Tamandua tetradactyla: one gene and its partner. The protein of the gene in region 1 interacts with the protein of each later gene in a pairwise test. Links are inferred from orthologs where the notes say so. Each region holds a gene or a part of one and is shown on either strand. Other genes may lie near its edges. The genes, in order: FLACC1 and SULT2B1.

What was found.
Region 2: the proteins of FLACC1 (region 1) and SULT2B1 interact in binary tests that used the Homo sapiens proteins (3 or more experiments, as listed by UniProt). The two-hybrid records come from large-scale screens. The link is inferred for Tamandua tetradactyla from reciprocal best matches to the Homo sapiens genes FLACC1 and SULT2B1.

Annotation. Positions count from the first base shown.
Region 1 is NC_135329.1:175,867,640-175,878,832, forward strand, and holds the start of FLACC1 (flagellum-associated coiled-coil domain-containing protein 1), read right to left. Parts: upstream 4,495-11,193; 5' UTR 4,264-4,494; coding exon 4,142-4,263; intron 4,018-4,141; coding exon 3,946-4,017; intron 1,448-3,945; exon of another isoform or gene 1,000-1,447; coding exon 951-999; exon of another isoform or gene 99-950; coding exon 1-98.
Region 2 is NC_135342.1:12,463,609-12,474,009, forward strand, and holds the start of SULT2B1 (sulfotransferase 2B1), read right to left. Parts: upstream 4,233-10,401; 5' UTR 4,214-4,232; coding exon 4,095-4,213; intron 3,384-4,094; coding exon 3,241-3,383; intron 1-3,240. UniProt on the Homo sapiens protein: Sulfotransferase that utilizes 3'-phospho-5'-adenylyl sulfate (PAPS) as sulfonate donor to catalyze the sulfate conjugation. Responsible for the sulfation of cholesterol.

The DNA of each region.
Region 1 (11,193 bases):
AACTGCTTCTTCCTATCGAACATCTCGTCCCCCAAGGTGACAGAAATCTGCTCCCTATTCCGAATGAGGTGATAGCCAGGTGACACGTTGATCACTTCCTGGGCACCAAGATGAACAGTCAGATCATATTGCAGACTTGGAGTTAGAAGATTCCTCCAAACCTTCTACCATTGTGCTACTCACATCTTGAAAACCCAGACATGAGATAAGAATCCAGGGCTCTGGCCCATCCCATGTTCTTCCCTAGACATGACTCCTGCTCCTATCTCCAGCCCAGATTTCTCTCCTGAGATTGAATCCCGACATTCAGTTGCCTCCTGAATGTCCCTCTCAGTGGTCCCACAGACCTCTCAAGCTCAACGTGTGCAAAATGGAACCACTGATGCCCTTCTGCTGACTCTACTTCCCTCCCCCTCCCCTAACCCTGTGCCCACTCTGTGCTCTCCATCATGGCTAGAAACCAGGAGGCAGCTGGTCATCGTGGAAATCACTCAGGGTTTGGAATCAGAAAGGTCTGAGTTTGAATCCTGGCTCTGCTACCTACCGGTAATTATCGCCACCTCTGTACTTCAGTTCCTCATAGGACAAAGGTGCCCTTCCCCAGTGCTTTGTGGTTTCCCAAGTGCAGCATAAGGTTTCCTGCATTATGGGCATGAGCTGTATCTTGATCAGTTTCGTTGCCCTGGGACGCTCTCCTCAGCCTGCCCAATGCAGTAATAAAAAAATTCTGCCCTGGGGTCTGGCCGAGCTGAGTTCAAGCCCTGGTTCTGTCATTTAGCAGCCACATATAATGTACAATGATAACAGCACCTCCTCAAAGGATCATTGCAAAGGCTCAAGGAGGCAAGTACATGCAAAGGTATGTGTAAAGCACATGTAAAAGCCCATGTTTGCATGTGGTTGGTGCTCAGGAAATGTTAGTTCCACTATTACTTTCCATTTTTACTCACATAAGGTAATTTATTGTTCTCCTCTTGTTTTCTTAAATGTGTTTTCATCCTGCAAGAGAAAAGCTTACTTAGAAAGCAACCAGAGAGCAAAGAGAGGTTCAGGGCTTAGGAGTTGCAAACCTTGATCCTGTCTTCATTCAACCCCGCCCTCTGAGCTCTGGCCACCCAGCCTTCTTGGGAAATCCCCAGGGTGGCTGGAAAATCCACTGAAGCAGGGCTCCCCGAGTGCTTCAAAGCTTGGACCCTTGTGAGAAGGTCTTGCCCAAGGAGACAGAAAAGTTGGTCTTCTGATATTGGGAGAACTTTTGGTTTTGGAAAGTCTCAGCCAGATAAAGGGGTTTTTATACACCCCCACACTGCAAGGCTCTATGAGTCAGGTGACACCCCCTCTCCCCCAACACATATACATTCAGCTCAGGGAACCATGTGTGTCACTCTTCATTGAAGAATACAGCATTTCTACGTAATGAAAAATATTCCTTTTTTCATTAACAGTAAGACACAAAAACATTGAATTTAAACTGTTTTCATTCAAATAGTCTATATATGCTATATCTAAATGACTAATGCATATCTAAAATGAATAACATATATATACTATTATTTTACTTTATACATATATATGAATATATATACACAGAGAGAAAGGTGGGATTATGATAGACTTATTGCTGATTTTATGGGAGCAATTATCTTAGTATTGTTTCACAGTTTCTGAAACTTAAAAATGCAAAAAGAGGAGTCAGCAGTTAATTTATTAATTAAAAGTTCATCTTTATCATTTTGTTTCCAGGGCATCACACTCCCCTGATTCTTCACCTACCTCTCTGCCCACTCCCTCTCTGCATCATTTCCTGACTCCTCTCATCTCCCTGAGCTCTAAGCACTGGAGTGCCCCATGGCTCAGAACTACCTGTCTCCATGCATTGCCTTTGACCGCTCACCTGGTCCCAGGACTCTAAGGATTATCTAGGTGTTGAGGACTCTCAAATGTATATCTGTAGCCAGTCCTCACTCCCATACTCCAGACTCATTTATCTGACTGCCTACTCCATATTGCCACTTGGATATTTAACGGGCATCTCAAACTTCCCATGGCCAACCCCTCACAGCCCCTCCAGAGGTCTTCCGCATCCCAGAAAAAGACAAATCCATCCTTCGAGTTGCTTAACCCAAACTCTTAAAGTCAGTTTTGACTCCTCTTTTTTTTTTTCTGATACTTTCCACCCATTCAATTGGCAGATCTGATAAGTTTCTGTCTTCAGAATATATCCAGAATGCAACCATTTCTCAGCACCTCTTCTGCTCCACCAGGTCTGATTACCATTATCTCTTGCTTGGATTCCTGCCATTGCCTCTTACCTGGTCTCTACTTCTACCCTTGCCCCCTACAGTCCATCTGCAACTCAGCAGCCAGATTAATCCTTTCAAAATCTCAGTCAGACCATGTCACTCTTCTCCTGAGACTCCTCAGATGGCCTTACATGCCTTTCAGAGTAACAAAGTCCTGACATTGACCTGCAAAGTCCCTCACTGAATTAGTTTCCAGGAACTTCTGTAAAAAGTCACCACAAACTTGGTGGCTTAAAACCACATTAATTTATTATCTTGCAATTCTGGAGATCAGAAATCTATAGAGTCTCATTGGGCTAATATCAAGGTGTTGACAGGGCTGTGCTCCCTCTGGGGTCTCTAGGAGCCATCTGTTCTCTTGCCTTTTCCGGTTTCTGGAGGCTGGCCCCCGTTGACCTTCAAAACCAGCCATCACATCGCTTTGACTCCAACCTCTCTTTCATTGTCACATCTCCTTCTCTGACTCTGACACTCCTACCTTCCTCGTTCACTTAGAAGGACCCTTGTGATTACACTGGGCCCAACCAGATTACTCAAGACAATCTCCCCATCTCAAGGTCCGTCGATTACAATCTTAATTCCATCTGCAATTTGGGCAAGTAGCACAGCATATTCACAGGTTCCAGGAATGAGGATTGGACTGTGTTGGGGGCCATGATTCATCGTCAACCACATTCATCATCTTTGTTACCTTCTCTGGGCTCCTCGCCACCTCTCTCTCCTCCTCCCTCCACTCTCACCACACTGGCCTCCTTGTGTCCCTGGAAAAGGGCAAGCAGGTGACACAAGCTCCCATTCAGGGCCTTTGTCCTTGCTGTCCCCCCTGCCAGGAGTGCTTCCTGGAGATACCTTCATGCCCCCCCCCCCCGTGTCCCCTTTACAAAGGAGACTTTCCCTGACCTCCTTAAGTAAAAGAACGACTCTCCCGACCCCCACCTTTCCTTAACGCGTTTGCTTTCATAATTTCTCTACATGGCACTTGCCAATCTTGGATATGTTCACTTGTTTTTCATCATCTTTCCCAATCCCCATTAAAAAGTAAGGTCCAGTAGAGCCAGAACATTGCTGGGTTCACTGATGTTTCCCCAACACCGCAACAGTGCCTACGAAATAACAGGTGCTCCATAAATAATTTCTAAATAATAAATAGATAAATTACAAAGAGTCATGCAAAGGCCTAAAACCATGTCACAGTTCTAATTTATACATTATAGTTCAAAGTTAAAGTCATGGTTATAAGCTTGTAAAAACTTTAAATTTTGAGTTAAAAAAGAAAATCAAAGGTGCAACCTACAGAAGACCTTAGACACAGGAAAGCAATCATCAAAAAGTCTATTTTTCAGGATTCTCCCTGAGGCTCTTTGCCTGTGACAGGCACTGGGCATTGTCCCCTTTTAGGCAGAACATAGCTTTGGAGGGCCTCTCAGCTGACAGCTCATTTGCAGTGACTTTGAAAACTATGGTACAAAGGAACACGGAATCTGCATGCAGGGTCTGAAGTTCTAGGAAAATCATGGTGGGTTCTGGCACGTGTCTGATAACAGTTAGTTTTAAGTCAGACAGAGCTATAAAGGCCAATGGGGACATTATTTTATCTACATGCCGCAAACCATTCCTGCCTCGTAGAAATAAAAATACTTACTTTGGATTCACAATAGGTTTTGATGTTGATTGGAAATTGCATTTTTTTGGAGCTGGCAGAAGAGGAGTTAGCCTGAAAGTGAAAAATAAATAATAAAAAGAAAAAAATGGAAATTCAGAAATCTGTCTTATTTTCTCAGATTAGGTGCATCCTCATGGTGTCCCTAAATTCTGAACCAATAATTGGGATATGTGACCTGACAACTGTAATCCTGGGTCTTGGGAAATCTCCAGCCCACGGCTTTAGCTCTTGTTCGCTGTCCCAGGGAGTCCCGAGGTTGGCAACACTGCTGGTCCCCCCGTCCTCAGAGTTCATCATCCCACATTGTGGGGTCAGCTACTGCCTAAGCCTTTCAGTTGGAAGCTGCGGTTCCCTGTTGTAGTGGCTCTGAAACTTCCTCACTTTTGTGGCACTTGGCCTGGGCAGGATGGACAAGTTCAATGGGCAGTCAGTAGGATTGCAGGGAAAGTTGTATAAAGATAGGTTTTCTGGCCCACTTGGGATTTTGCTGCCAAGTTCACTGTTTTGGAAATCTTGTAAGAGAAAGAAGGCTGCAAGTGGAACCCTAGCCCTCTTCCCCCTACCTCATGACAGGCAAACATTACTTGGACTTCCTTGAGGAGGGGGAGGTCTTGCTTGGTGGATGAGGGGTCTTGATTAGCTTCCGTGGTCCCAAGTTCCAAGGGTCCCAGCAGGTGCAGTAGATGAGAGGGTTGGGGTACATGGTCCAAGGTCAAGGGCAGTCTTGGCTGCTGGGTCAGGAGCCTCTTGCTAAAAATGGGGAAACAGCTGCAAGGATTAAACCGTTCAGAGCCAAAACAGCATTACTTAGAGACAAGCTGGGAAGGGCCCAGGGAAGGTACAAAGCACATAGTAGATTCCAGAAGCTGTTGATCTGGCTCAGGGTCTTGCCTATGGACCTCATTCCTTACCACCCAGTAGTCTTTATTTATAAGCAATTTAAGATTTGCCATAGTTGAGAGCTAACTGTGAGCCATGTACATAGCAAGTGATTAATTATTTTTACCCCCATTTTACAGATGAGGATACTGAGGCTCAATGAGGTCACAGGGTAACAAGTTGCAGAGCTGGGAAACAAGCACAAGTTTGTCTGACTCCTAAGTCCTTGCTCTTCAACCAAGCCATGCTAGTTCTCACTTAAGTGAAGAGATCCCCACTGTAGGTCCTGCTCAGACTTTTCTGGAAAATAAGCTCTGTGACTCAAACTACCGTCCAAGTCAATTCCCCAGATTCTCATTCCTGGTCACCTGCCTGAAGAGTCCAAACTTCCTCCCTGGCTATATAAAAACAAACAAAAGTCCCTGTTACGAAACTTTGTATGAAAGGCAAATATCAGATAAACAAGGAGTTTTGACCACACTTGTTTATCTTTCTTCTTGTCCAGAACTGCACTGTAGGTTTCTCTCAAAGAGGTTTAATCCACAAGAGCAAAGAGAACGGAAGAGGAGACTATGTTGCACAAGGGATGTCACGCATTTGACACAATAACTCCCTCACTTCACACACGTGGAGTTTAGCCTGCATGGCTGCAGAGAGGGTATGAATGAAAGACAACCAATATGTACCTCCAACACCCTGAAAAACTCAGGACATGGAACAGGTAGATTATCTGACGATACTAATAGGTATTTGACAGATCTGGTGAGGCATGTGGTGCATCAAATAAGGCCCCTCCAAAGAGGTTTCCTCGTCCTAATCCCTGGAAACTGCAAACATGTTACCTTACATGGCAAAAGGGATTTGTGCAGGGATTTTGCAGTTACTCTGCACAGCTCCCTCTTCTCAGACCTCTGGCCCAGCCCACTCCTGCACTTACCTCTATCTGCACACTCACTGGCTATTTTTTTATTTTTAATTTTTATTGACAAAACATAACAACATACAAACACGAACATTTGTAACATGAACATTCCATTCTTGGTACATAATCAATGACTCACAATATCATCACATAGTTGTATATTCATCACCATGATCATTTCGTAGAATATTTGCATCACTCCAGAAAAAGAAATAACAAGAAAAAACTCATACATACCATACCCCTTCCCCCATATATATACAGTTTTTTTTGTTTTGTTTTGCAAGGGGAGGCGCCAGGAATTGAACCTGGGTCTCTGGAATGCCAGGAGAGAACTCTGCCACTGCACCACCATTACCCACCCTACCCAATATATTTTAACATTTGTTCCCCCTATTTTTTTCTGTACCCCTTACCACTCCCTTTCATTGATCACTAGTATTTCAATCTACTCAATTTATTTTAACATTTGCTCCCCCTATTATTTATTTATTTTTAATCCACATGTTTTACTCATCTGTCTATACCATAGATAAAAGGAGCACCAGACACAAGGTTTTCACAATCACACGGTCACATTTCGAAAACTTTATCATTATACAATCATCTTCAAGAAACGTGGCTACTGGAACACAGCTCTACAGTTTCAGACACTTCCCTCTAGCCTATCTAATAAACCTTAAACTAAAAAGGGGATATCTATATAATGTTTAAGAATAGCCTCCAGGATAACCTCTCAACTCGTCTGAAATCTCTCAGCCACTGACACTTTATTTCATCTCATTTCTCTCTTTCCTCTTTCGGCTGAGAAGGTTTTCTCAATCCCTTGATGCTGAGTCCCAGCTCATTCTAGGATTTCTGTCCCACGTTACCAGGGAGGTTTATACCCCTGGGAGTCATGTCTCATATAGAGATGGGGAGGGCAGTGAGTTTTCTTACCCTGTTGGCTGAGAGAGTCCACATCTGAGCAATAAACGAGGTTCTCTGGGTGTGATTCTTAGGTCTAATTTTAAGTAGGCTTAGCCTATCATTTGCAGGGATAAATTTCATATGAACAACCCCCAAGACTGAGGGCTTGGCCTATTGATTTGGTTGTCCCCATTTCTTGCAAGTATATCAGGAATTCTCCAAATGGGGAAGTTGAGTTTTCTGCCTTTCTCGCCGTACCCTCAAGGGGACTTTGCAAATACTTCTTTATTCACTGTTCAAATCTCTCTGGGATTTATCAGGGCATCAAACTGGGCAAACCTATAAAATGTCATGCCCTATTCAAGGCTCCATGTACTTATGCATACCCACTTGCTTTTAAAGCCAGGCCTCTTGTCCTAGTGTCATGGCTCCCTCCACCCCCATTCTGTTGACAACTTTGCTGACTGCAGGCATCCCGAGGGCAAGGTCCAAGTGGCTTGCACAGAATAGGTTGTTGATAAACAAGTGTTGCCTGGCCAGTAATTAGGATGGTAGTTACCACAGGGACCAGCTCAATGAGGAGAAAAAGAGATCTACAGGTGAAACTACCAAAATACCGTGTCATCAAAATATTATAGATAGTGTTAACATTAGACTTAAAAAAACAGAATTCATGGGCAAATTATGATACAACCACTCAGTGGAGTTTTACCCAGCTTTTAAATAATTTATTTTAAAGTCTGTGGAAACATGAAAAACTCTTTGTGCAAAAAGATATGAAACGGTATGTAGGTAATGGATATGATTACTGTCAGACACGGGGTCATGTGGAAGGATTCCACACGAGACACCGAGTTAAAGATTAACAGATTTATTGAAGGAATAAAACAGAGAGGAAGTAGGTGGGAGAGCAAAAGGGAGAAAGCAGGTGGGAGCCTGAAATTGGCTCCCACCTGGGGAGACAGCAAGAAGAAAGAAAAAAATGGTTCCAGTTCTTTGATCTGGGAGCTGTTTTAAAGGGATAGTGATGCCAGGAGGGGAGGTACCCACTAGGTGGTGTGTTGTTTCCTGGTTGGATGGGGGCTTGTAACAGGTTATATCTGGATCCTTGGGCCTGCCAAGGATGCTGAGGAGACAGGTTGAAGGTGGGTCTTCATCAAGAGTTCCTTTTACTCTTAGAATTTTCTTTCTGAGACCTAACAATTACATAAGATTTTATTTCTATGTTGACAAGAGCTAGAAAAGAATACATTACATTGTCACCAATGCAGTAGGGCCTCAAAAATCAGTAACCCAGGCTAGGAATGTTTTGAATCCTAGAGGCATTTTGTATATAGAAATTTTTATTTCTGCCTTTTAAAAAAAATTTATTTATTTACTAATTAAAAAAATTTAACAACAAACGAACTAAAACATTAACATGTGATCATTCCGTTCTACATATATAATCAGTAATTCACAATATCATCACTTAGTTGCATATTCCTCATTTCTTAGAACATTTGCATCAATTCAGAAAAAGAAATAAAAAGACAATAGAAAAAGAAATAAAATGAAAACAAAAAAAAAAAGATTATACATACCATACCCCTTACGCCTCGCTTTCATTGATCACTAGCATTTCAAACTAAATTTATTTTAACATTTGTTCCCCCTATTATTTATTTTTATTCCATATGCTCTACTCATCTGTTGACAAGGTAGATAAAAGGAGAATCAGACACAAGGTTTTCACAATCACACAGTCACATTGTGAAAGCTATATCATTATACAGTCATCTTCAAGAAACATGCCTACTGGAACCCAGCTCTACATTTTCAGGCAGTTCCCTCCAGCCTCTCCATTACATCTTGACTAACAAGGTGATATCTACTTAATGCATAAGAATAACCTCCAGGGTAACCTCTCGACTCTGTTTGGAGTCTCTCAGCCATTGACACTTTGTCTCATTTCACTCTTCCCCCTTTTCGTAGAGAGGGTTTTCTCAATCCCTTGATGCTGAGTCTCAGCTCATTCTAGGGTTTTTCTCAATCCCTTGATGCTGAGTCTCAGCTCATTCTAGGATTTCTGTCCCATGTTGCCAGGAAGGTCCACACCCATGGGAGTCATGTCCCATGTAGACAGGGGGAGGGTGGTGAGTTTGCTTGTTGTGTTGGCTGGAGAGAGAGGCCACATCTGAGCAACAAAAGAGGCTCTCTTGGGGGTGACTCTTAGGCCTAAATTTTAAGTAGACTTGACCTATCCTTTGTGGGGTTAAGTTTCATATGAACAACCCCCAAGACTGGGGGCTCAGCCTATAGCTTTGGTTGTCCACACTGCTTGTGAGAATATCAAGAATTCAACTTGGGGAAGTTGAATTTCTCCCCATTCTCCCCATTCCCTGAAGGGGGCTTTGCAAATATTTTTCCACTCACTGATCAAATCACTCTGGAATTCATCGGGGCATCACTCTGGACAAACCAACAAAATCTCATATCCTATTCAAGGTTCCAGGTACTTATGGTGTTCAATCAAGCTATCTACATAAGTTATATTAGGAAATGCACTAGTCAAAATATAAATTTTGTACCAAATAAACATTTTTTGCTTTAGTCTCATACATAAGTCGAAATTTTAAAATATTAATTATCATCTATTTTCAGCACCCTTCAGTAATGACATTCCTTTGTTCTTCCTCATGCAGAAACATATTTAAAATTTGTACATTTAGTTACTATTATTATACACTCTAGGCATTCCTAGATTATACCATTTCAATCTTTAATGTCTATCTTTCTGATTTCATTTATTTATTTCTGCCTTTTTTTTGAAAGTAGGTTTATTGTTGTTTGTGTGTGTGTTAAACTGAAATAGGATCATTGTAAAGAAAATTGTATCATAGAAAGCATAAGAAAGTAAAATTATCCAAAATACTAACACCACTGAACATATTTTGATTGATATATTCTAGAGTTCTCCCTAGTCTAAAGAGACATATTTATATAATTTTATAGAACGAATTATACACAATAGTTGTAATAATATAATTATTAATAATCTTAAGGATTTATATAACTTTCCATAAGTGAAAACCATACTCATATCCTAGATATGCTTTTTTACAATATGTCATGAGCTTTTTAAAATGTCAGCAATTATAGATCTGTAACATCATTTGTTCGACTTTACTATGGATAAATTTAAAAATGAACAAAAGCAGAAAAGAAAAGTATAATGAACTCACCTGTCACCTGGCTTCAATAATTAGCAACTCATGTTTAATCAACTTATGTTGATAGCTTGATTGAATACCATAAGTACTTGGAACCTTGGGTAGGACATGAGATTTTGTTGGTTTGTCCAGAGTGATGCCCTGATGAATTCCAGAGTGATTTGATCAGTGAGCAGAAAAGTATTTGTAAAGTCCCCTTCGGGGAATAGTGAGAACCGGGAGAAATTCAACTTCCCCAAGTTGAATTCTTGATATTCTCACAAGCGGTATGGATAACCAAAGCTATAGTCTGAGCCCCCAGTCTTGGGGGTTGTTCATATGAAACTTAACCCCGCAAAGGATAGGTCAAGTCCACTTCACTCCTCCAACACCAGTCTATTTTAAAGTAAACCTCAGACTTCATATGGTTTCTGTATCATCATGGCTATGTAGATTTCTATTCTATAAATGTACTTTATTTTATATTTTTAATCATTTCTTACTGGTGAACATTTGGTTTTTTTTTTTTTTTCTTCTCCTATAACAAATAATGCTTTGGTGGCTAACCTCTTTTGCTCTTAAAAAGTAAGGCCTCTCCCTCTAAATATCCATTGGGATGATAGTAAAAACATTTAACAACCAGCTAGACAAAGCCACAGAACAGTCAGACTAGGTTTGGGGACTGTGGGGCTGGAACAGCGTCTGGGAGGACTTTTCTCCCACCTCCATGGCAGACATTAACTCCTTAGTTGCTTAATCATGAGGTGCTTTGGGGGTGCTGGGGGAGGAGTTGGGGCAACCAAGATGACAGGGAGGACATGTGAGGGGCTTTGGGAGTGGTCATTTCAAGAACTGTGCATAGCAGCTAAACATCAGCCTGTGACTTCCAGTACCCTCCCAGGAAGGAACCACTGTTAACAGGTTTTTGGATTATCCATCCAGGTATGTATGTATGCATGTCTATATATACTTCTTAAAATGAACACAAATGACAGCATACTTTTCAGATTATGCTATGCCTTGCTTTTCTTCACACAACAGTCTATTTAGTAGATATTTCTAGTGCAGCTGGATCTACTACATTCACAGTGGTCTGATGTATTGCCTCTAAGAATATAGGTGTTTTTAAATTTTTTTTTTTAAGAATTCTTTCTCCCTCTCCTTTTCCTGCATCTCTCTCTAATAATTTTACCTGAGACGCAGCGGGCTGAATGCGCCAATTGGTGAAACTACAGTCACCAGTGAGCCAGGGCAGGCTCCACGGAGGTCACTGGTTAGAACTGATAACCAGCAGAAAAAAATTGCTGAAGACATCTTTTCCAAAGA
Region 2 (10,401 bases), on another chromosome or scaffold:
TAGCAGGGCACTCCGGCACCCAGCCAGAGACCACATCTCCCAGTCTCCTCTGCAGCCCAGTGAGATCACGTGACTAAGCTCTGGCCCATGAGATGTGAGCGGAAGTGATAAATGCACCTGTGGGTCGTGCCTTTGAAAGGCACGCTCCCCCCACCACTCTCTTCCCTTTACTGCTGGCAGCATTATGGAGACAGTGTCAGTACCAAGGGGAGTACCTAGCAGAGGCCAGCAAGCCAGAAGGAGGCTGCCTCCTACGTGACCGCTTGGAAACGAGTCTACCTGTATAGCCCACCTACCTCAGGACTGTCAAGGGAGGGAGAAATAAGCTTACTTCTTTGGGTCTATTTGTTATAGTAGCTCAACCTGTAACTTTAACTAATATAGGAAGGTCCTGTTAGTACCTTCTATGTCAGAGATGAGGAAATCAGGGGTCTGGAGACATTACAGGTCTTTTCCATACTTCCTGAGGGAGCACTAAGGATTTAAACCCAGCTGTGAATAACTTTTGGAACACAGGTTTCTCCATGGAATACTGTCTTGATAGGCTTGAAGCATCACCACAGATCTGACCCTATGTTAATCCCCCAACGACCAGAGTCCATGCCATTAAAATCCCAATCATAGAATGACGAACCATGAGTTCAAAGAGACCTCAAATTACAAAGCAACCTAAAAAGCCAAATACATTTGACTGCATAATTTCAGAATAAATCTGAATGGAAAAACCTATTATGAACAAAGTCAAAAGACAAATGACCATCTAAGTAGGGAAACATGCATAATTCATAATGCACACAAGGGTTAGGTTTGTTAATAGAAAAGAGCTCCTACAACGCAAACAAAAAGCCAACAACTCAACAGAGAAAAAAAAAAAAAAACGGACCACAGATAAGAATAGATCAATCATAGAAAGGGAAATATATAGTTCTTTACAAATCTAAAAATATGCTCAACTAGACTAATAACAATGGAAATGCAAATTAAAACCACACTGACATTCCATTTTTTCACGGACCAGTTTGGCAAACATTTAAAAGCCTGATTCATGATGTTGGCTGTGGTATGAGAAACAGGCCCCCTCAGACCCTGTAGTTGGGAGAACAAACTTCTGTATCTAAGTAGGGATACTAACTCCATCAAAATTACAAATGCACAGAACTTCCAATCACATAATTCTACACGGAGGAATTTATCTTACCTATTGATACAAACAGATGCAAATAATGTATGTATAAGGTTACTCAGCACAGTACTGCTGATAAAGACAAAAGTTTGGAAAACTCTAAATATCAATCAGTAAGGAATGTGTTAAACAAGTATTATTGCACATCCACATTCTGGAATACTGCAGAGCTGTAAAAAAAGAGAAAGCTCTTTGTTTAAAGTTCTAAGGGGATGATATCAAGGTGTAAGAAAAAGAAATTAAAGAAAAGGAGAGGGCGGGCCGCGGTGGCTCAGCGGGCAAGAGTGCTTGCCTGCCGTGCCGGAGGACCCCGGTTCGATTCCCGGCCCCAGCCCATGTAAAAAAACAAACAAACAAACAAAATATAATAAAACAAGAAAATGTTTAAAAATGTTTCCCTTTCTTCCTCCCTTCCTTCCTTCCATCCTTCCTTCCTTCTCTGTCTTTCCTTCCTTTCCTCCCTCTCTCTTTAAAAAAAAAAAAAAAAAAAAGAAAAGGAGAAAAGCATAAACAACATCAAGATGTGGAATGGCACATATGTTAATGTCTCTGGACAAAAGTAAGAAATACGTACATTTTTGCTCATCTCTGCAAGTTTGGAAGGATACACAGGGCAATACCAGTGACTGTGGGTAGAAAGAGATCTCTCATTGTAAACTTTTTGTTCCTATGAAATTTGGAGCTATGAATGTCTCTAGAGAGACAAAAAGTAGATCAGTGGTTGCTTAGGTCTTGGAGGTATGGGAGGGATCAGAGGGTGAAGGCTAAAGGTCATGGGGTTTCTTTTGGTGCTTATGAAAGTGATCGAAAATGGATTGTGGTGATGGCTGCACAACCTGTGAATATCCTAAAGCCAGTGGACTGTACACTTTGAATGGGTGAATTGTACAGTGTGTGAATAATATCTTGATAAAATATTATACAAAACCCCTCATGAACTCTGTACACAAGGATGAATGCAGTATTTTGAAATTTATCAAAAAAAATATTTTGGAAAAAAAAAAAGTCAAACAAGTTAACTCCATCAACTGAGAGAAAAAAAACAAAAGCCAAAGTCTGTCTCTTCTCTGACTAAAGCCTTCCAACAGGTCCCCATTGTTTGGTCATCACAGACCTTCACCTTAGCATCTACCCACACCCCCTCCAGCCTTTCTCATCATTCACTCCATCCCAACCTCACTCACCTTCTCTTGTCCCTCCAATTCACCATGCCCTCTCCCACCTCAGGGCCTTTGCACGTGCTGGTCCTCTGTCTAGGACTTCCTTCCTAGGGTCCTCCTCAGCACCACCCAGACCCTTCTGCATCTTCCATGTCCTAGTGTGAACAAGCCTCCCAGGAAGCCTCCCTGATCCCCCAGACCAGGTTGGTTTTGCCTCCCCCTGCTCCCTACCTTCAATGCTTCCTGCACCCTTCCTTGGTGGGACTCATTCTGACTCCTAATTATATAGTAATATAGGTGACTGTGCATTTAAATAAAGCCTGTCTTTCCTAACCGACAACCGTCTTTCTTGTTCAGAAGTGTGTCTCCATGACAAGTGACCAATAAATAGCATGTCAATGAGCAAATGGAGGAAAGAGCCTCCCTTCCTTCTTTCTTGCCTATCTTCCTTTCATCCACTCTTCCATTCTTCCTCCCTCCCACAAATATTTATTAACCGCTTATTATGTGCCAGGCACAGTTGCTGGCTCTAGGAACACAGCAGTGAACAAGGTAGACTAAAATATCAGCAACCACAGATCTCACCTTCTTGTGGGGAATAAATAAATAGAAATATGATAGGTGCCAGATAATGATAAATGTCATGAAGAAGGGTAGGTAAAGGGGATGGAAAGGGACAGGAGGCAGGATGGGAGAACTGTCTTAGCTAGGGAGGGCCGGGAAGGCCTCTCTCAGACCGGGAGGAAGAGTGGGAGAAGGCCATGTGGATGACTCAGGGAAAGGGCGCAAGTGGCTGAGGGGCCAGACAGAGTCAAGATCCACCCCCCTGGCTGTTTGCTCTCCCTTCTCCCCGGATGTCCCATCCCCATTCTTCCACTCTCCAGGCCCCAAATGTACCTGACTTGGGGTAGGTGACGATGAAGGTGTCGTCGTCCCGCACATCGCGGGCGTTCTCTGCGATGCTGATGCTCTCAGAGGAGTAGATGCCGACGGGGAAGGGGATACCCTTGTACCTGAAGTATTCGCCTTGCAGCTTCTGGCTGTATAAGAAGGCAGGGGAGACACCATGAGGATAAGAAGGTAGGAAGAGAAGGGCAAAGGTCGCCCGGGGGCCTGCGAGGGTGTGAGACCAAGGTCCCCGGAGTCTGCATGGAGGGTTAAGTTGTACAGCTGAGGCCTCCCAGACTCACGTCAGAAAGTGGCAGAGAAATCTCAGGATTGGCGTGAGAGGTGAGCAAGGAGGGGGCCCCAGGGGGCGATGCCCCTGGCCAATGCAACCTTGCGGAGGAACTTAGGCTCAGCCTCGTTTCTTCTTCTGCAAAATGGTGGTGGCAACGGTGCCCGGTGCTTAACGCTTTCCATACATTTTATGCTTCCCCCCAATCCTGGAAGGCGGATGTTCAGTCGCCACCCCATTTTACCCAACGAGGGCCCCTTCTCACCCCCACCCGGCTGCTGAGGGGCAGTGCCCGCGTAGGAAACCACGGGCAGAGTCATCGCCACGCTAAAGAACGCCTTCAGCTTTGAGCCTCTCACACTCGAGCTGCTTTTCCAACCCTCAGCCCCATCCAGCAATGTGTTCACGTGGCCAGACGCTTCAGTCACAATTTTCAAAGGTGAGACAGCCTCAGAGCAATCGAGGACGTCTGCCGCCTCCCGCCATTCCAACCTCCCCAGAATCTCGTATACCGTGGCGTGGGAGGCGATGAGTATTTTGGGGATAGGGCTAACGGGAGTTGGATTGGGAGTACATTGCGTCTAGCTTTAGTGTGACACTGATGAGCTTCGCAGGCACGTCGGGGGTACTGTTTGGGTGACCCGGGCCCGGATGCGTGCAGACGGCCGCCACGACGTAAAGGCGCAGGGACATAAGCTGTATCGCGATATTACGGCGGTTGTGTCGTGATGTTATGCTGTGGTATCGCGAATTACGGGAGTAGTATCGCGATGTTTCGTGTCTCAAGGCTGCCGGCGCCGCCAGGGTCTAGAGCCGGAAGGTAGTCTGAGCTATTTTTCTAGAATGTTCGTATATTTCAGAACATAGCAGACTGCCTCCACCATGTGGCAGGTTGCTGTGATTTCTTTCACGTTCCAGACAAACATTTCCTCTACCTAATTTTGCAGTCGCAACTGTTTTTTCTTCTAAACGGTCTAAACTGGCCCTCACAGCGGGTCTGCCCCATGGTAACTACTCTGTGCTATTTTTCATTTGCGTCCCTTTATAAGAAGATAGACTGAAATTTCAAAACTATATGTGTGTGTTGGTTATATTGAAAGGATATAGCATAACATTACTAAGAAGTTCCATTTTGGGGTAGTGAAGAGAATGTTACAAATAATTGTTTTATCAGGGGAGTGTTGGTCTGACCGCCCAGAAGCTCGAGCATAACGCTGAGTGAAGGGCGGGGGACGCGCAATAGCCCACAGAAATTCAGAAACAGGGAAAAGTGATTTCTGGGGTTAGAAAGCCAGATCTGGTTCCCCTTGGTGGGAGGGCCGGGACAGGGTGGGGACGGGAGGGGACTCCTTGGGGGTTGGGTACAAGGCGGTGGGTGGGTGCCCGTTTTGCACACCTCTGTGGTGGTACTCTTGTGAGTTTTATGTTAATAAAATATTAAATGAATGAATGACTAAAACGTTAAAGGAAAAAAAGTCTCTCTCCATGAAAACAAAAATGTTCTTAAAAAGGAGGCCGAATGTTGGGGTGGAAGAAGTTGAAAATTCTGCTGGCTTACAAAGACCTTTTCCTTTAGTTTCTCCTCAACTGCTCAGTTGACGTCATGAGGAACCTGCGGTCCATAGAGGGCTGCAGCTTGCGCTGGGGGCACCATTGTCTTTGCTGAAGCCCTCCATTGGCGTCAGCGATTTGAGGGATAGGGAAGAGTTTCCATGAGACCTGGTGCTGAGGGATGTAGGCCAGAGATCTGTGCCCTTGCCTGGGGTCGCAGGAGAGCTCTGCGGAACCGGAAGGTTCAGCCCAGTCTGCCGGAGTTCCCAAAGGGCAGGGCCCTGAGAGGGGCTGGGAGGGCGTCTGTGGGGGATTCTGGGTGCACTGGCCCCCTTCCTCCCTGGGGTTTGCTCTGGAGAGGGCAAGAAGAGCTGGTTGCTGCATGGGGAACTTTGTGGGTCCTACTTCCTAGTACCCAGACTGATACAGGCTTTGTGGGTCCTACTTCCCAGTACCCAGACTGGTAAGAGCTCGTTGCCAGCTCCGAGTCTGACTTTGCCATTTTCCAGCCGAGCGGAGGGCCTTTTAATCTCTCTGTGCCTCAGTTTCTCAATTGTAAAATAGGGGGTAAGAGAGGTGATACAGTGTCATGTTCTCAGCACAAATTCTAGAAAGCCAGACTACATAGGCTTGAATCCTAAATCCCACCAGCTGTGTGACTGTGCCTCAGTTTCCTTACCCATAAAAACGGGATAATAACGTTCTTTACCTCATAGGGTCGTGTTCAGCAGTTAAATGCTCAAACTATGCCTGGCACAGAATAAGCACTATATAAATATCTGCTAAATTTAAAAATAAAAATGGTTAAAATAGCACCGGGTTTGTAATCTACATTCAATACATCTAGGCTAAAATTATTATTGTTGTTATTATATGCAATAATAGAGGCAACGCTGGGCATCACGTGGGCTCAGAAGAGGTTCTTGGCACAGCCTCTGCACACAGGAAGTGGTAATTACTGTAATTGTTTGATGATGTAACCAGTTACCCATCGGTAGCGGTGGTAGAATTCGTGATGTCACTGGTTACCAGGCAGGTTTAGCCCAGTGGGGGAGAGCTGTGAGATCATCAGTTACCAGGCAGATTTGTAGCTCCGAGTCTGTGGGTCACACGTACCATTTCCACCCTCGGGCAGTGCATCCACCACTTTGAGCCTCAGTTTCCTCATTTGTCCCTGGGGATGATGGTAATCTATACCTCATGGTTTTAATCCTACCTGAGGATTAAAAGGGAAAATATATTTTAAGCACTGGGCTCAGGAAACGGAAGCTCCTTTTACGGTTATATTTTAGTCTTTGGTCTGGCCAACAGCTGCTTGAGGGAGCAGCTTCCTTCCAGTCTTACAGAAAAGGAAAATGGAGCCACCAAATGGGAAAGATCCAGGGCCGTGTCCTTCAGGAGTCCCTGAGATATTCACTGAGTGAATAAATGAATGAATAGGAGAGCGCCCCCTCTTCCTGCCACCCACTCTTGGCACTTACTGTCTCCTAATTGGCCATCCAGACCTGGCCCAGGAGGCCAGGGTGGAATGTGGAGTGTTGGGACTTTGTTGGTGCTCACCCAGTATGTAAGGGAATGAATGAAGGCACGCATGCGTGAGCCTGTGACAGGGACCAGGACAAGAGACAGGCAAAGAGCACCTGTTGTAGGTCCTTACATCTGCCTCGGTGGTCCTTAGTCCACACTGTACTTTAGAATCTCCTGAAGGGGATTTAAAGACTCCCAAAGACCAGAATCCCCTAAGGGGCCTTTAAAAGCTCCCAAAGTCTGGACACCCCAGACCTGCAGCAGTCGACCCTCACCACTACACTCTCTGAGCCCAGAACAGCCTGCCCACCATGGCTAGCTGCTCAATCAATAATTGCTGTGGCATGAACAGGGTAAATCTGGGGATTTCCTTGCAGGTTACGATGCTAAGGACAAGAAAATGGAAGTTCTGGCTATGAAGCCAGTGCAGGGCAGAGTTGGGATATGAACCCTGGTTCCTGGGGCAGGCTCAGCCCTCAGGCAGTTTCTGTCTCACCTGCCCCATGTACCCCACGTCTCAGCCCCAGCCCCCAGTCATGGCGCCCTCTTCGCATCTCTGGGCCTTGGTACCTGTAGTTCTTTTTGCCAGGAATGCAGGCCCTCCTGCTCCCCACGCCAAGCAGGGAGGCCTCCAGCTGGATTCCTGCTTGCCTGTGTCCTAAGGCAGGCGTGGTGCACCTCCTGTCCCCACCTCGTAAATCAAATCTGCCCCCAGGGTGGCCTTCCCTCTCCCGGGGTCACAAGCTTGTTTTGTTCCCAGGCCACGTCCTCAGCCTGGCATGTGGGCTATAGGGCTGTCGCTGAATTTATGCGGAGGAATGAAGGTGATGATTGAGCTGGGTCAGAGAAGGAGGACCTGATGGCAGGGTCAGCTGACAAAGCTGCAGCTGATGTGAAGGGGTCTACTAAAGACCCCAGGACATGTAGGACTCTTAAAAACTGCATAGCAGCATCTCAATCCTCCCCTGCCTTCCTCCAGAAAACATTCGGCCCCTCCTCTCCATCCCCCATGGCCCTGGCCCAGCTCAGGTCACCTTCTCTCACTCACACCCTCGGTCCAGCCTCCACCCCAGCCTCCCTGCTTCCAGTCCAGTCCCCAACTGCCCCTGCCCCTCCCCTTCTCCCCAGTGCCCCTCAGCCCAGCACTTAAGGCCCCATTTAACCTAGATCTGCCTGCTCATCTGGCCTCATTTCTTCCCAGATGGCTGTAGTCACACCCATTTCTCCGAGCATTTCCATACTTCTGAGCCTTTGCACACGCTCTTCCTCTGCCAGGAATGCCTTTCCCGCCTCCTCTCTCTGCCAGCGTCTCCACGGTCAAGACCCAGATCACATCTCAGCTCATAAATGCAGACTTCCTTAACCGATGGCCCCCAACCCTAGCCCACTGGCCCTGCCCTGTTTTTCCCTTCCCACTTGTCCCCGTCTCAGCTTCTCTGAAATTTAAAATATTACCTTGATTATGCATTGTTTTCCCTGTTTGCATGTAATCTCTATGAACCCAGGGTTCTTTTTTGTCTGATAGTTTGTTTAGTGTGTCCAATTTGCTGATCTATTTGAAGTAGCCCCCACAGGATGGCCTTCAGGGAGAACTTCAAAAAATCAGTATTTGCTAAAGGAATACAGATCACGCTAATAACGATCCCTGGCGTTCACCAACTGGGTAATGGACCTAAACCCATTTATTCTGAGGCCGGTGGGGTTACCCTCCCTTTGCACAAGTAGGAAAGGGAAGCACAGAGAGGTAGAGTCACGTGGCCAGTGTTGCACTACGGCAAAGGGCAGGGCTGGGATTTGAACCCAGACAGTATGGCTCCAGAGTTTGAACCTTTCATCATTCTGGCTGCTACGTGACCTAAGGGAACTGTATTTACCTCTCTGAGCCTCTGTTTGTTCTGGCATGAAGTGCCTTTGGGAGTGTGTTCCTTCAGTGCAGGGGATGTGAGTGGTTCCAGAAATGCGGATGAGTGAGGGGAGAAGGTAGGAAGATAAAAGACATGGGTCTGACCTCAGGCCACTCATATAGCCTCCTTAAATGTCAGCTTCCTCCTGTCACAGGACTATTTAACTCCTAGGGGCATATTCTCATATATCATATCCTATTATATTATATTATATTATATTAATTCATGTTTGCGTGTATACAGCAGTCTGTTCCTTTTTATGGCTGAGTAGTAGTCCATTGCCTAAATAAACCATAGTGTACATATCCATCCCCTTTGTTAATAGACACTTGAGCTGTTTCCAGGTTTTTAAAACAAAACATTGTGATTGTTCCTGGACGAGTCCTTGTGTGGACATATGTTCTCATTTTTCTAGGATAAATAACTAGTAATGGAATTGCTGGATCATACAGTAGGTGTCATGCTGTTTTCATTATAGTACTTTTATGTCAGTTTTAATAACAAGAGGGCAAGTTCCTCCTCCCCATTTTTTCCCTTGGCAGTTCTTGCACGTGTAAACACCTATATCTATAGCAATTCTAAAATGGGTTTGCCAAAAGAACCCAGTTGAGATATATATCACTTTGATGTATGACTTTCCTAATAATGAAACTCAAAGAAATCTAGCTAAATAAGCTAATTACTCTCTGCAAATTCTCCAAGGGCTTCATTCCTAATGAGCTTCTGCACTCATTGTCTTGTGACTTTGCTGGGCTGTGAGCTCCTTGAGGGCAGGAGCTTGGTTTAAAAGGAGGCGTTGCCCCTCCGGTAGATGCTGGGCTTTGCAGGGTGTTATAGGATGTGATTCACATGCAGCCTGCTAAGGGAGGTACTTATCAGCCCATTTTAGAGAGGGGGAGACTGAGGCTTTGAGCCATGGAGTGTCTCACCCACCACACCCACCCCGTGGATGACACACTTTGGGTTTGAGGTCCTGGGCTCTGTCCCTTAAACCCCATCAGGCTCACTGCACATCCCTGTCAGTCTGCACTGCCCCACCTCCACTCCCCACCTCAGCACAGCGTCACACAGCATCAGCTGCTCTGCCAGGGCAGCCAGTGTTGTTCTGTTCTCACTGTCAAGTTCGACTTGTTCCCTAAATCCTCCATGCTCCACCACACCACTGAGCCGCTGAGCCCACTGTGCCTTTTGCCTGGAGGCTCTCAACTCCTCTGTCTTTCATTTCTCTCTATTCTCTTTCTCTTCTCTCTCCCCGCCCTCGCCGTCTCTCCTTCCAACATACATCTATTAAGCTCCTACTATGTGCCTCCTCTGGCCCTTGGGACACTCACGGTTGTCTCCAGAAGATGATGCGGTGATGGAAATGCATCTATCCTGTGCGGTCCCAGGCGAGGCCGCCCGCCACGTGTGGCTGCTGAGCGCTTAAAACGGGGCGAGGGAGCCCGGGGAACCTAATCTCTCATTTTATTTCCTTGTTATTCCTGTGAATCTAAACGAGCATGCTCAAGTCAGTTGTCGGAAACCATTTAAGCAAGGCTAGAACAACCTGGGTTTTCAACTGTAAAGTTGATGAGATCTAAATGCAGATCGAGTGTTTCTGATGAAAAGCCAGCGTCTGAATTGAATAAACACACGCCAGACTTCAAAGGCTTAATGGGGCACACACACACATACACACAAAATGTAAAATAGCTCATTAATAGTACTTTTTTTGGTATCGATTACCTGTTGAAATGACAATATTTCGGCTATGTTGGGGGGAATAAAATATAAATCTAAAGTGAATTTCAGGCATGACTTCTGTACATCTACTATAGCTCTAAAAAGTAAATTTAAAAACCCGGCAACATTGAGTTTTCCAAGCCAAAAAAAAAAAGTTAATGTCACCTGTTTATTTTA